Tamandua tetradactyla: one gene and its partner. The protein of the gene in region 1 purifies or fractionates together with the protein of each later gene. This does not show direct contact. Links are inferred from orthologs where the notes say so. Each region holds a gene or a part of one and is shown on either strand. Other genes may lie near its edges.

Region 1 (7,570 bases):
AATCTGTTTAAAGAAATTAAGAATAACATTACAGTTTTAAGCATAGTAACACCAGCTATATACTAGTGTGATTACTTAAGCATGAGTTGTGTCTCTGCCCTTTGTCATTTTCAGAAATGTATTTGCTTAACATGTGGGATCAGCGTTGCAATTTCATGGCATCGGGAAGAAGTGCAAAAAATTTATAAAGCAAAAGCATGGTAAGGAATTTGAATGCAGTTTGCTGGCAAGAAATTGAAGCTCTTCACTTACGATCATTATTATTTTTGCATTGCGGTATAAACAGTAAACTTCGTGTATTTAAAATGAGAAATGAAAACACCCCAAACTGCTACCACAATCAGTATACAGACCTTTCCAGTTCACTCTCCCCCCACCCCCTGCAATCAATTCTCTTTCCCTCATATCACTCATCTGTTTTCTGTAACTAGATTAGTTTTCATTGGCTAGAATGTCATGTAAATCATACATTATCTACTGATCTACTCTTTCTTGTCTTATGCTATTTCACTCAGTATAAGACACAAGGTTCACTCATGTTGTTATGAGTACCAGCAATTTTTTCCTTTTAAGTGCAGAGTAGTATTCCATTACACGAATATAACACATTGTGTTTATCCATTCACCTGTTGATGGACATTTGGATTGTTTCCAGTTTGAGATTATTGTGAATAAAGCTGCTTTGAACATTAGTGTACCAGTCTTTGTGTGGATGGATATATATTGAGAACTGACATTTTCATAACTAGATATAGGTGATAGTCTTTGACTTTAAAGATCAACTACCAAAACGTCAACTTGATTGAATAAACAAGAAGGACAATGGCTCTTTATAGCTTTTTCAATTCAAAGGCCTCTTCTCACACACATGAAGCTTATTAGAAAATACCTTAAACTCTGAAACAAAATTGAATTTATTGCCAGTATATATAATATACATATCAAATAGTATAAAAATGAGTCAACCATATTGTTCCCTTCTTTAAATTTAAAAAATTGCATCTTTGGTAGGAATCTAAAATAGATACTCACAAAAATCTAATAATAGTTTGCTTTATTTTAAAATGATAATTTATGGTAATCTCCATAGCTCTACCACAATTACTATGAACTATATTACATAATTAGCATTTAATAACCCTTAGCATATATAATTAGCTGAATAGATAATAGATGCATGATAAATGCTCTAGAGAGAGAATAAAATAAACATATTCTCTCTTTGGGGCCCAGTCAGTTTTAAACAGATTAATCATCATCTTTAACAATAAATCAGTTATACATCTAACCTACCCTCCTGGGCTGTATGGATGAGAAAGGGAGAGCAAATATATATCTTTTTTATTGCAGGAAAGGGGAGAACCTGTTAGCATAAAGAAGAGAAAGGTTCCTGGGAGTATAGAAAAGGGCATGACCTAGCTAAAGCAATTCAGATGGACTTTACTTCCTACCCTGCACGAAAATGCAATAGTTCCTTGCTTTTTCTGTCCCAGGTAACCAGGCACAGGGAAAGGAATTTCGTGATCGTGATCTGTTATTTTTCTTGCTTCTCCTCTAGCTAGTACCCTGCTGCCAGCTCCCCATTTGTCTCAGTGGAGATGTAAGATGTTTCTCTTCTGGGTACAAAGGATTTTACAGAGACAGTTTTTCAGGCCCTCATGTTGACAGCTGCTCTGGACAGCTGTGTTCCCTGAGGCAGAACAAGAGCTGCATCCCCAGCAATGCAAACCAGAGACAAATGGGTTAAAAATAATCCTGACATTCATCTCCACTGCAGTGCACCATCGCTATTGAGTTCTGCAGACAGCATTTTCTTTAATGATAATGATAGATTTCCCTTTTCTCCTGTTGAATTTCATCTTTCTCCTTTTTTGGTCTTTCTCTGAATTTTGACTACTGATTTTACTGTGGCTTTGTATTTCATCATGTGCAAGGATCTCCACTGGTCCCTCCACCTCTGACCACAGAGGATTGTTGACTTATACCTCACATTCATTTTTAAAATAACCGCCAAACAAAAAAAGATGTCATTTGTAGTGAAGAGATATTCAACAGTGCTTACTCTCAAGAAAACCTTCTGAAGAACAAGTTTATATTCTATGTAAAAGCATTAAATTGAAATAAAGTATGTGGATTAGGTATGATTCTTATATATTTTAGTAATCAGAAAAGTAGGAATAGACTAAATTCTACAATAAAATTTAAATTATCATAATTTATAGGTGGACAAACTGAAAAGCTTACAGAATCCTCATTTATAAAATGAGTTAGGCCATGTGTACGCAAATTCAAAGTCTGGTTAAAAAGTTAAAATGCCTAGAGGTCTGGCTTCCAACATTAAATCACCTATTTGAAACTTTTTCTCTATTATAAATCATAATGACTTTCAGGCAACTAATTTTGAATGTTTGTTATTTTCAAAAAAAAAAAACAAACTTTCTTACTATGTAACTAAATTTTTCTGTAAAGTTTCCCTAGGAAACTGTCTTCAAGTGGTTTGATTTTTGAAATGTGTACAAAATTGTTTTACAATTACCATGACTGTGTGTAGTATAGTATTACTTTTACTTTTTCATGATATGAGTCTTTAAACATTTGCTTTGCTGATATTACCATAAACCACTTGTAACCAAGTCAAGTCAGTATATGCTGCATAAAAGTTCTTTTGCAACACAGAAAAGAGAGTCACTTGGAGAAGCACTGAGAATTAGGTTGAGAGCAAGGCAGGTTTGAACAGTAATGAGACAGATCCAGAAAAATAAACATGTATTTTAAACAAGCAGATTGTGTCAGTCAGATAGAGAAACAAGAGAAAGGGTTAGCTGCCAATTCATTCCACAGATACTCTCTGAGAGAAAAGCTGGTAAAACCAACCACCCAGGACACGCGAGGAGACTGACCCTTTACCTGTCCATAGCAGTTTCCAGAGTGGCTCTCTTGACTCCCTGAAAGTCTTAGGCCAAGGAAAGCTTGCCTCAAGCACTGCTGCTTCAGTGTCTCTGTCAGATTTGCCCACATTCAAATCTGAGTTTATCCCTTTGGGCTCCTCCCCTCCCCACAGCACTGCCACCACCAGGTACCACAGAGCACCTTCCCCCTGATTTGGGTCCCGTGAAGATGGGAGGGGTTGTCAGGGGCAGAGCCACACGGGGTAGATGACTGAGGGCAGCTCTGCTTAATGCCTAGGTTCTCCTAAGACTATTTCTTTAAAAATCCAGTCCATCCTCCATAGGTATCAAAGATCCAGAGACAGTGGATACTACTTAAATTGCCATCATGGTAACAAATCATATCTTTAACTTTAAAAGCATGATGATGATGATGATGATGATGATGATGATGTTCATTTGAATAACAGCTTGTGTTCTGTGAACTAAAAGAATCCATTAACTCATTTAATTAGGCAATATCTATGGATCTGTATAGAGACAAGCACTAACAGCCACTGCTTTAATGCTGAGCAAGTAAACACAATCAGTTACAGGACCTACGACCCAGAAATTTTGCCTCCCAGATCACTGATTTTTTTCTTTTGGATTGCACTACCACAATTGCTAGAAGACTAGATGTTTGTACTAAAGAATGATTTTTGCCCAAGTTATCGATTCCACAAGATCATATTTTTATTTTGAAGTCAGAAGCAACAAAATCCCAAACAATACAAAAGTGCATATCACACCAGACAGATTCAATATCTAAATTGAACTTGTAAATAGGCTGGACTTTTCAAATAAGAGGCTTTAGTTCCTGCCCCAATGCAACTGGTATATTAAAGATTTTCCTTCTCCCTTCTACCCCACCCCTTAAGCATTGCATAGAATTTTAGTACCTACTATATGCCAGAAACTGCCTGGTATTGGGGATGCAATGATGAGCAAAGCAGCCTTTGTTCCTGCCCTCTTCCTTCTTCGGATTTAAATACCAATGATATGCTGATGATTCCCAAATCCATATTTCTAGCTTTGACCTCTCTCTTGAACTTGAGATGAATGTGTTCAGCTTCCCTCTCAGCATCTGCATGTCTGATGGTAATCTCATACCTTTCTGATGGGATGTCTGATGGGAATCTCATACCTGTCTGATGGGATGTCTGATGGGAATCTCATACCTGTCTGATGGGATGTCTGTTGGGATGTCTGTCTAACACTGAGGCCCTATTTTCTACCCCCGTACCCAACTACTCTTCTTGCCCCTTCCCCATCTCAGGAATGGCAGTGTCATTCTTCCAACTGTTCAAGCCCCAAACTTTGCGTTCACCCTTGACTTCTCTTTCTTTCATGTCCTAGTCTTCTCTTTCCTTTGCAGCCATTAACAAATCCTGTTAACTCTACTTTCAAAATTTACCCAGTAACTGCCATTTGTCATCATCTCTAGGTCTAGAAAGCCGGGTTATTGCATTAGCCTCCCAGCTGTCCTTCTCATCTCCATCCTTCAGCCTACTCTCTACAAAGTGGTCCAGTAGTCCTTCTGAAACACTGCAGGTCATGTCACTGTTAGAACTCTCCAGTGGCTCCCCTTCTCTGAGTATAAGACAACATCCTTGCAGTAGCTTACAAGACCCTATACCATCTGTCCCTCTCTGACCTCATCTCCTACTCTCCCTTGCATAGACAATGAATACACACTCCTGCCTCTGTCTTTGCACTTGCTCTTCTTCCTGCCTAGAATTCTCTTCCTCCATACATCCTTATGCTTGATTTCCTCATTTATTTTATGAATACCTCTTTCTGGTTGACACTTTGTTGATCACCATATCCAAGATTGCATCTGAATCTTATCATCCTGAAACTTTTTATCCCCTTTCCCTAACTGATCTCTCTAGAATCTGCCATTCAAAATACACTGTAGTGATTTGGAGCTGTATGTACCTCAGAAAATTAAAAAAAAAACATGTTCTTAAACTTAACCCATTCCTGTGGGTATGAACTCATTAAAGTAGGAATTTTGATGAAGCTACTCAATTAAGGTGGGGCCCAACTCAATCAGGATAGGTCTTAATCCTATCATTGGAGTTCTTTATGAGCAGAATAAAATTCAGACATAGAGCCAGGGAAAGCAGGAAGCTGAAGGACAACAGAACCTAGAAGAGAAGGAATAGGCCAGGAGAGGCTACCATGTACATTGCCATTTGAAAGAGAAGCCCAGGACCAAGGATCACTGGTGGCCCGCTCCAAAATCCAATCTTTACAAACAACACATTGTCATAATGACACCTTGATTTGGACTTCTCTTAGCCTCAGAACAATAAGCCAATAAACACTCATTTTTTAAGCCAACCCATTGCATGATATTTGCTTTGACAACCAAGAAACAAAATCATGCACTATTTTACCTATCTGTCTTGTCTTAGGTCCATGAGAGGAAAGAATTTTTTTCCATTGTGGTACCCTCAATGCTTAGTACAGCGTTGGCACATAATAGACATCTCAAAAAATGTGCTGATTAGTTAATAAGGCTCTGGTGGAACGTATATCCCAGTGGGAAATATGCAATAATCAAGTCACCAGACATGTAAAAATACAATAAAAACTGTGATGCTTGCTATGAAAAGTATACATCATATAATAAGAGGTTCTTCTTGTTCTAAGATTATTTGGTGATAGAGCTATGGAAAAAGGTGTCTCTGTGCTTCTTCTCAACACGCCACGTCCTCACTCTGAAACTTTCAGACCACACCCTTTGTTAAAGCTGCTCTAAACCATCGAAGTTTAGATTATTTTATTCACTCTTCTCTTTGCTTTCTCTTTCCCTTCTTCCGTCTCTACCCCATCAGTTATGATACCTCAAGGGAAATTTCTAAAGTATGTTTATTCAGCTAAAATTTTTGAGTCATAAGCACTTTAAATATCAAAGTAAACCTGTTGAAAACAATCTGGCAATTCTTCAGAAAGTTAAGTATAGAATTACCATGTGAACTAGCAATCACACTTCTAGGTTTATCCTCAAAAGAACTGAAAAGAACTGAAAACAGGACTCAGATATTTTCACATCCATGTTCATAGCAGCATTATTCACAATTGCCAAAAGATGAGGAAGCAACCCAACTATCCATCAACAGATGAATGGATAAACACAAGGTACTATATGCATACGATGGAATATTTTTCAGCCACAAAAAGGAACAAAATTCTGATACATGCAACAACATGGATGAACCCTGAAGACATTATGTTGAATGAAATAAGCCAGACACAAAAGGATAAATATTGCATGACCTCACTGACATGAAATAATTAAAACGCATAAATTCATAGAGCCAGAAACTTGAATGCAAGTTACCAGGGGCAGGAGTGGGGGTGGAGGTGGGGGATGCTTAATTGGTATAGAGTTTTTTGGGGGGGGTAATAGAAAAGTTTTTATAATGGATGGCAGTGATGGATGGCAGTGATGGCAACCCAATATTGTAAATGCAATAGAAACCATTTGATTATTTATTTGAATGTGGTTGAGGGGAAATTGTATATATGTTGCAGGAATAGAAATTTTTAGGATAATCAATAGGACTATACAACATCAACATTGAATCTTAATGTAAACTATGGACTATATATAGTTAATAGTATAATTATGGTAATATTGTTTCATAAATTTTAACAAAGGTATCACACTAGTGCAAAATGTTGAAAATAAGGAAAAGCATGTGTGTGATGGAGTGGTATATGGGAACTCTATTTTCTATATGATTTTTCTTAAACCTCTCAAATAAAAATTTAAAACCATAATTTGAATTTAAAAAAAAGCAGAGCAAGCACATTTTGGAAAGCTCATGTTATGCTTATGTTGCCTGCTTCTATGAATTGCACTTTCTTTTTTTTTTACCACACCCAGCATTTATCCACAAGCAACATTTATTGTCATTTCAAGCACACTCCTCTTTACTTTGCTGTGGATACCTAGTTAAGTGTTCAATGCTTGGTGTGATGCTACTTCACTCCCACGGTCCCTCTAGGAATGTGTGATTTAATGTGGTGCCTCACTTCTGTTTACAATGCCACCTCCTGATTCTAATATACAACCACACCATGTTATAAAGGTATATCCTATTTTGCTGAAGTGTTGTAGAAACCCAAATAGAATAATACATGTGAGAGAAGCCATATATCTATATCTATATATATATGTATATATATATATGTATATTCATAGGTTAATTATGATTTATTGTTCAAGAGAAACCATGAGATTATTACTCTGTTTAGAAAGCATGGATCCTTGCAAAAACATCCCAATCTGTGGTCATCTATCCTCGATTTAGATCTTTAGGAATATAGGGCATGTATCACCTACTTTGTGTCGTTAGAGAGGAACCGAAATAGAATCACCACAGAAAGAAGTCATCAAAAGCTTCGTGGTGGAGGCAGTATTTCATTGAGACCTTGATGAATGGGTGAAATTTGAATAGAAGGATGGGGCTGAAGATTCCTAGAGGACAGTAAGATGTAATTAAGCCAGCATGGTCTTTGACAACTGGAGACGTGTACCTTAGATCCAGCTCTTGCACACACTCAGTGCATGACATTGGGAGAGAAATCTCTCCTCACAATGCTGTCCTGAGGGTTTCTAATATACC
Region 2 (7,051 bases), on another chromosome or scaffold:
GAACTGTAAAACAGCAACGTATTCAATTTCCCTTTTTAAAAGCCATTCCATTTCTGGTATAATGCATTCTGGCAGCCAGCAAACCAGAACAGTTGGTTTCAGCTCTGGCTTTGCTCTTCACTAGCTGTTTGACTTGGAGCAGGTTAACTTGACCTCTCTGGCTTGGGTTTCCTTTTCTATAAAATAAGCATTCCACCTACCTCAAAAGGCCATTAATTGATAATTAAATATGATAACTTATATGAAAACACTTTAGCTCAGCCCCTGGCTCATGGTAGGAAGGCAGTATAGCACAGTGGTTAGGAGCTCCAGCTATGAAATCAGACTGCCCAGCCTTGCCACTATCTGGCTAGATGCCTTAAGGCAGGTACTTTTTTATGCTTCAGCTTCCTTGTCTGTACCAATGCAGTAAGTAATGCATCTCTCATTTCTAAAAACGTTACCATTTTAAAGAGTTTTTATATCTCTAATTTCATCACCTACCATTCTCTTCCTCACTCACTATATTCTAGTCACATCAATCCTCTTTCTGATCTTCTAACCATGAAGAACTAACTATGAGTTTCTACCACATAGAAGATGTTATCTCTGCCTCAATCTGTCCCTTTCAACCTTCAGTCCTCAACTTTAATGTCCATTCCTGAGTAAGACCTTCCTAGAACATACTATCTATTAGAACATACTATCTAAAGTAATAGGTCCTAGCTCCACGCCTAATGGTTATTTTCTATGGCAGAATTATCTACTAAAAACATATTGAAAGCCGTAAATGAATCACATGTGTAACTTTAAACTTTCTAGTAGCAACATTTAAAAAGTGACATTATTTTTAATATATTTCCTTTAACCTAATATATCTAAATACTATAATTTTAACATGTAATCAATATAAAAATATTTTTACAGCCATTTTTCATGCTAAATCTTTGAAATCCAGTGTGTACTTCATACATATTGCCACATTTCAAGTGTTCAATAGTCACATGTGGTCAGCAGCTACCATACTGAATACTGCAGTTTTATAGCATACCCTGCTTTATTTACATCATAGCACTTATCACTATGTTTATTTTCTTATCTTGTGACTTCCCCACCAGACTATAAGCTCCACAAAAGGAAGAACCTTGTCTGTCATTTTCATTGCTGTACACCTAGTGGATACAATGCCTTGCACCCAGGAGGTGCTTAATAAATATTTGTTGAACTTTAATATTCTGAGTCAATGGACTAGTCATTCCACAATTCCCAAAAAGGCATACAACCACTCATCCAGCAACCCTCCTATTTCTTTTTTCCTTTCATGTTCAACTACTGTCTTAAAAAGAACAATTTCTTGGTTATATACCTCCCCACTGTTTACAAGTTCCTTCTCATCATGTCTGGAGTTTCCAGATCAAAGCTGGGTATAATGGATTAGGAAGATGCACAAAAGTAATAGTAATATTTATTGAATGTGTTTACTCAGTGGTAGGGATTAGTCAAAGCACTTTACAACTATGCTTTACGGCAGCCCTATGAAATAGATACCATCACCGTCCCCACTTACAGATGAGGAAACCAAGGCATAGAGAAGTTAAGTATTTCATTCAAGGTTACAAAAGTCAGTTGGTAGCAAAACTGAGTTTCCAAGAAAGCTGGAATTCCAGACTCCTGGTTCTTAATCACCTATTCTCTATTGCAGGGTCGCCCAATAGAAATACACTGTCAACTATAAAACTAACTTTAAATTTTCTAGTAGCCATATTAAAAAGTTAACAGAAATAGGTGAAAACTATTTTAAACGCATTTTATTTAACCCATTATCTGAAATACGATTATTTAATCAAATGATTTAATAATCAAAATAACCGATATGATCGATAGGATTAAGCAACAATATAAAAATTCAACTTTTTTTAATACTACATCGTCAAAATCTAGTGTGAATTTACACACACAGCACATCTCAATTCAGACTAGCTACATTTCAAATGTTCAGCAATCGCATGTGGCTAGTAGCTGGACGGCACAGCTCTACTATCCCCTCAAAAGTAGCCTTTCTGGGGAAGTTAAAGAGTGGGGAAAACTTTGGGCTGGAAGTTGAGAGACTTGAGCTCTAGCCCAGATCTTACTTGCTGAGAAACTTGGGCAATTCCTTTCTGTCCTCGAGCCCGAAGTTTTCCTACAAGTACCCTGAGTGAGGGCACAAGAAGATTCCCCTAAGGTTCTATCCCATGTTAAAATTCCAAACATCTCCCGACGACAGCAGTTAACATGGCTACAGCTTTCTACACTTTAAAATAGGCTTTCAGATCCATTAGCTGACATAGTTCTCAAATAAACCTACAAGGTAGTTATTACTGTATCCATTTCATAGACAGAATAGCTGAGCTCAAAGGGGAGGAAAGGACTTGCCCATAAGCCCCACTGCCAGTCAGCGGAGAAGCTGGGGCACAAATCCAAGAAAGAGCTGTGGTCCTCCGACCACCACTACACACTCAAGGACTTGGGAGCGGGGAGTGGTGAGCTGAGGGGCATGGTCGTGAAAACAGGGTAGTCTGGGACCTTCAGGGAAGTTGAGGAGAACCAGGATGGGGTGAGAGGGAACCCAGACTGGAGTGAGAACAGGTGAGAGGGCTCAGGCCTTGAGAAGGTAAGGAACTGAAAGGGCCCAAGAGGACTATGGGAAAGTGAAATTGAGACAAACTTGGACCCGGGTGGCACAAGTTGACATGAGGGAGCCCGGGGGCCCCGGATTTAGGTGGAGAGGAAGTGAGATGAGATTCTGGCCCTGCTACCCGTTGCTCATGTGAAGGGGGGTTCCACGGCCCTTTCCCGGGCTTCATACCTGATAGCTCAGAAGTTCGCCTACGTCCATAGTTCAGGGTCCTGCTAACGCCGGCTACGCGAATTCCCTCCACTCACGCTGAAGCTAAGGCCCCCTCAGCAGCTGCTCAGCCACACTACCGTAAAGCGCCGTGAGCAGGCCGCAGAGACAACCGGGTAAACGTGCCCGAGCGGGCCACACTGCGGTAAAAGGGAGGGCTACCGTAAAGCGCGCTGCATTTGTGACAGTTCTGCTTCCGCCTCGAGCCTGAGCGGGGCGGGGAAATTGGACGGAGACCTGAAGGAGGTTGGTGAGGTGGGAGAGAGAAGTGGAGGGCGCTTCGTTTTATGGCGCGCTCCCTGTGTGCAGGGTTGAGCACTGGGTGTTTCACGGGTATTTTCACAATCCTTCTAGCGACCTGGACCACTGTATCTTTATTTGCTTCTCATTTCACAGATAAGGAAACCGAAATATACCTAGTTCAAATTGAGATGTGCCATAAATGTAAATAAACCAGACACTGGATTTTTAAGACATGTTAATTACATATTGAAACGATGTTTTGGATGAGTCAAATAAAATATATTATTAAAATTAATGCATTTGGATGCGATTTTATTGAGAAATATTCCCAGACTATATAATCATCCAAAGTATACAATCAATGGCTTACACATCATATAGTTGTGCATTCATCACCACAATCACTTTTAGAACATTTTCATTACTTAAAAAAAAAAGTTAAGCGAAAATAAAAAACACCCAAACACATTCCATACCCCTTTTCCCCCCTATTATTTATTTTTATGTTTTTATTTTCTCACTTATCTGCCCATACACTGGATAAAGGAAGTGTCAGTCACACTGTAAAAGCTATATAGTCATACCATCATCATCAAGAATCAAAGCTACTGGATTACAGGTCAACAGTTTCCTTCTAGCTATTCAAATACACTAAACTAAAAAAGGAATATCTACATATAATACATAAAAATAACCTCCAGACTGACCCCTTGACTATTTGAAATCTCCTAGCCACTGAAATTTTATTTTGTTTCATTTCTCTTCTTCCTTTTTGTCAAGGCTTTCTCAATCCCAAGATGTCAGGGCCAGGCTCAACCCTAGGAGTCAGGTCCCACATAGGGGGAAGGGTAATGCATCTATTTACAGAGTTGGTTTAGACTGAGAGGCCACATCTGAGCAACAAAAGAGGTCCTCTGGGATGACTCTTAAGCATAATTATTAGTAGGCTTAACTTCTACTTTGAGGAATACATTTCATAAGGGTAAGCCCAAAGAATGAGTTTGATTTATTACACTGGGAGTCTCTAATGCTTGTGAGAATATCAGAAATTCCCCAGGTGGTAAAGCTTAATATTTCCACATTTTTCCCCAGTCCCTCAAGGGGACTTTGCAAATACTTTTTTCTATTTTCTGCCCAAATTACTCTTGGATATATCAGGTTATTATATTAACCTGTACAAAATAAGATTTCATTCCCTATTCAAGTTTCCATGTAATTATATTGTTTGGATAAACCAACCATACAGGTTAAATTAGATAATGTGCTACAGAAAATATAAATTTTATACCAAATAAACATCTCTTCCTTTGGTCTCACACAGAAATTGAAGTTTTAAAATACAGTCACTATCAGTCTTTACTCTGTATTCAGATTACCTTAGTCCTAACCAGATCAGCTTCATTCATATCTCTAACTGAAGTCTGATCTCTTTTTTAGCTTCTTTAACAGTTGTTACATGGGGTAATGCTGGCTTTCAGAGCTGCAGAACTCTAACTCTGAATCTCAGATGTCACACAGCTACTCAAAGTTCCAGGGAAATCCAGCTTATACACAAAGAGTTCAGTTTCTCATAATAAAATTAATACATTTTCATGTGGTGAGTAGAAAAAGTTTTCTCCTCTTTTTTAATGTAATTAGAAAAAATTTAATTACACATGGCTTACATGTGAGCCTTCCCTCATATTTCTATCGAACAATGCTGGCTCAGAAAGTGACTCAGCCAAGGCAATACAACTATTACTGGCTGAGAAACTATCAGTGATCATGTAAACGAGAAATTAGGATTGAAGGGATGATTTTGATTACTGAATCATTACATAAATATACCTTTTTTTGCTTTCTGGCATATTGGAGTAGACAGGGTAATACCTGAAATCTCTGAATTGTAACCCAGCTGCCTTGGTCTCTGATAATGGTTGTATATCAGTGGTTATCTTCTGCCCCTGTGACTAAGCTTCATCTGTACTTTGTCATCCAGTTTTTCAACTTTAGAGTTTTGTAACCACTAAAGACAGCCCTTCATGTTTGTTAATGAAGGGTCTTGGGTCTGCTGGGAACTATCCCACCCTAAGTCCAAAATAATCTTGATAACTGAGACCAAATTTAACCTACATGGGTCTGCCTGACATGCGCAGTAGCTTAGACTTAACCTACAAGTGACCTATACCTCATTTCGCCATTTTCTTTCATACATTCCATGAATAAGCCTGTAATCCATGTGCGAATGCTCAAAAATCAGATCACGTCTAATTACATCATCTGGGGTCACTGTACTCATTATCTTAAACCCTGCCTGTCTTTTTCTCTAATAAAACTACCAGAATTAATGGAGTTCCAGGAGATAGATTTTGGGCCACTAGGCCAGCTACTCTCCTACAAAATATCTAGTAATAAACCCTTTGTCTCTTTGAAACCCCGGTGTCTCAGGAATTGGTTATTGAGCGCATCTGGCAAAAGAATCCATGGTCTTCACCTGGTAACAATCACATGCCCCTCTCTGGGCTTCTGTTTCTTGATCTCTGCAAGGCCAGGTGGGAACTGGATCATCTTTTCTCTATATGAGTGATGTGAAAAGATCTTTCTGGAGGAGAAAATTGCATTCACAGAGAGCATCTGAACGCCTGCGATTTAGATGAGGCTCCATCTTCGGTGGAGCTGAGGCCTGTCCGCCCACAAACTCCCAGCTCTTCACAAGCAGGGATTGTGTATGTCATGGTCACCCTGTAGCCCCCAGCACTGGGACAAGGGGAGGGTTTCACAATGGGCCTTGTGGGCCGTGGTGAAGAGACTGGATTTTATCTCAAGAGTATTGGGACGCTGTGAAAGGTATTAAGCACGGGAGTGACATGATTAGGTTTGTTTTTAAAGGATCACCTGCATAATCTGCTTTGAACTGAGTTATTTGTGGTTTTTTCTCCCTCCTACTTAGCTGTGACTATAGACAGTGCCTTGTAAAGGAGGCATGAGGAGTGATGATGAGGGTAGCCTGTGACCACAGACAACCCCGTGTTCTAGCGTGTGCTATGCTAGAGCCATCTTGTATAGGCAGGCTCCTAAGAACCCACGGTTACATTTTCAAGCAGGTTGGCACCAGGTTGGTAGCTTGAAATCATCCCTGGTGGGCATATTTACATCACAGAAATCAGCAGATACTCCCCCCAAGCAGACTGATGGTTCTGGTTCTAGATGACGCCCCATCAAGTCTAGGTGTGCCGTTGGGCAAGTAACTTTCCCTCTCAGCTGCAGTTTCCTCATCTGTAAAGTATTTCACTCATTCATTCAACAACTATTTACTGAGTGCCTAATCAATGCCAGGCATAGTTCTGGGCTCTGAGGTTATAAAAGTTGATAAAACAAAGTTCCTGCCATCTTGGAACCTACATTCTAGTTGGAGAGAAAACCTCATGAGGAAGATATTGTTATGATGCTCATATTATAGATGGGGAAACAGAGGTAAGTGCTTTTCCTCGATGTGCCTGATTTCCGCACCTGGGAAGTGGAGGGCAAACTGAATCTGCTTCACAGGATGTGGGAGAACTCACACGAGCTCCTGCAGGCAGAGCAATCAGCACAGAAAAATGTTCCATCAACGTTTGGTGTTAATATCATGAGTTGAGTAGGAGGTGGAGGGAGAGAGTTGAGGGCATTCCTTTGAACTTTTCCTTTACTTTCATGTAGGTGGCAGGCATTTAATCTGCTCTATGTAATTTCAGAGGCCAGGCTTTAAAACTCAGAATCATAAGGAAAAATTCTGTGAGAACCAGGGGCAGTGAACATGCTGGAATGAGAGTGATCTGTTCCCCGGGGAAGGCTACTCAGAGGAGGTGCCATTTGGACATGGATTTAAAGGATGAGAGGAGTTTACCAAGAGCACCTGGTGGAAGAAAGGTGGTCCTTGCAGAGGGAAAAGCATGAGCAGAGGCATGGAAGTGAGAGCATTCC

The links. The genes of interacting proteins can lie anywhere in the genome.
Region 2: the proteins of AICDA (region 1) and CTNNBL1 purify together in Homo sapiens (affinity purification with western blotting; 3 studies listed by BioGRID, with this or other methods). This does not show direct contact. The link is inferred for Tamandua tetradactyla from reciprocal best matches to the Homo sapiens genes AICDA and CTNNBL1.

The regions. Positions count from the first base shown.
Region 1 is NC_135333.1:70,837,136-70,844,705, forward strand, and holds the start of AICDA (single-stranded DNA cytosine deaminase), read right to left. Parts: upstream 3,001-7,570; 5' UTR 2,916-3,000; coding exon 2,908-2,915; intron 1-2,907. UniProt on the Homo sapiens protein: Single-stranded DNA-specific cytidine deaminase. Involved in somatic hypermutation (SHM), gene conversion, and class-switch recombination (CSR) in B-lymphocytes by deaminating C to U during transcription of Ig-variable (V) and Ig-switch (S) region DNA.
Region 2 is NC_135327.1:14,534,789-14,541,839, forward strand, and holds the start of CTNNBL1 (beta-catenin-like protein 1), read right to left. Parts: upstream 3,014-7,051; 5' UTR 2,858-3,013; coding exon 2,828-2,857; intron 2,769-2,827; exon of another isoform or gene 2,112-2,768; intron 1-2,111. UniProt on the Homo sapiens protein: Component of the PRP19-CDC5L complex that forms an integral part of the spliceosome and is required for activating pre-mRNA splicing.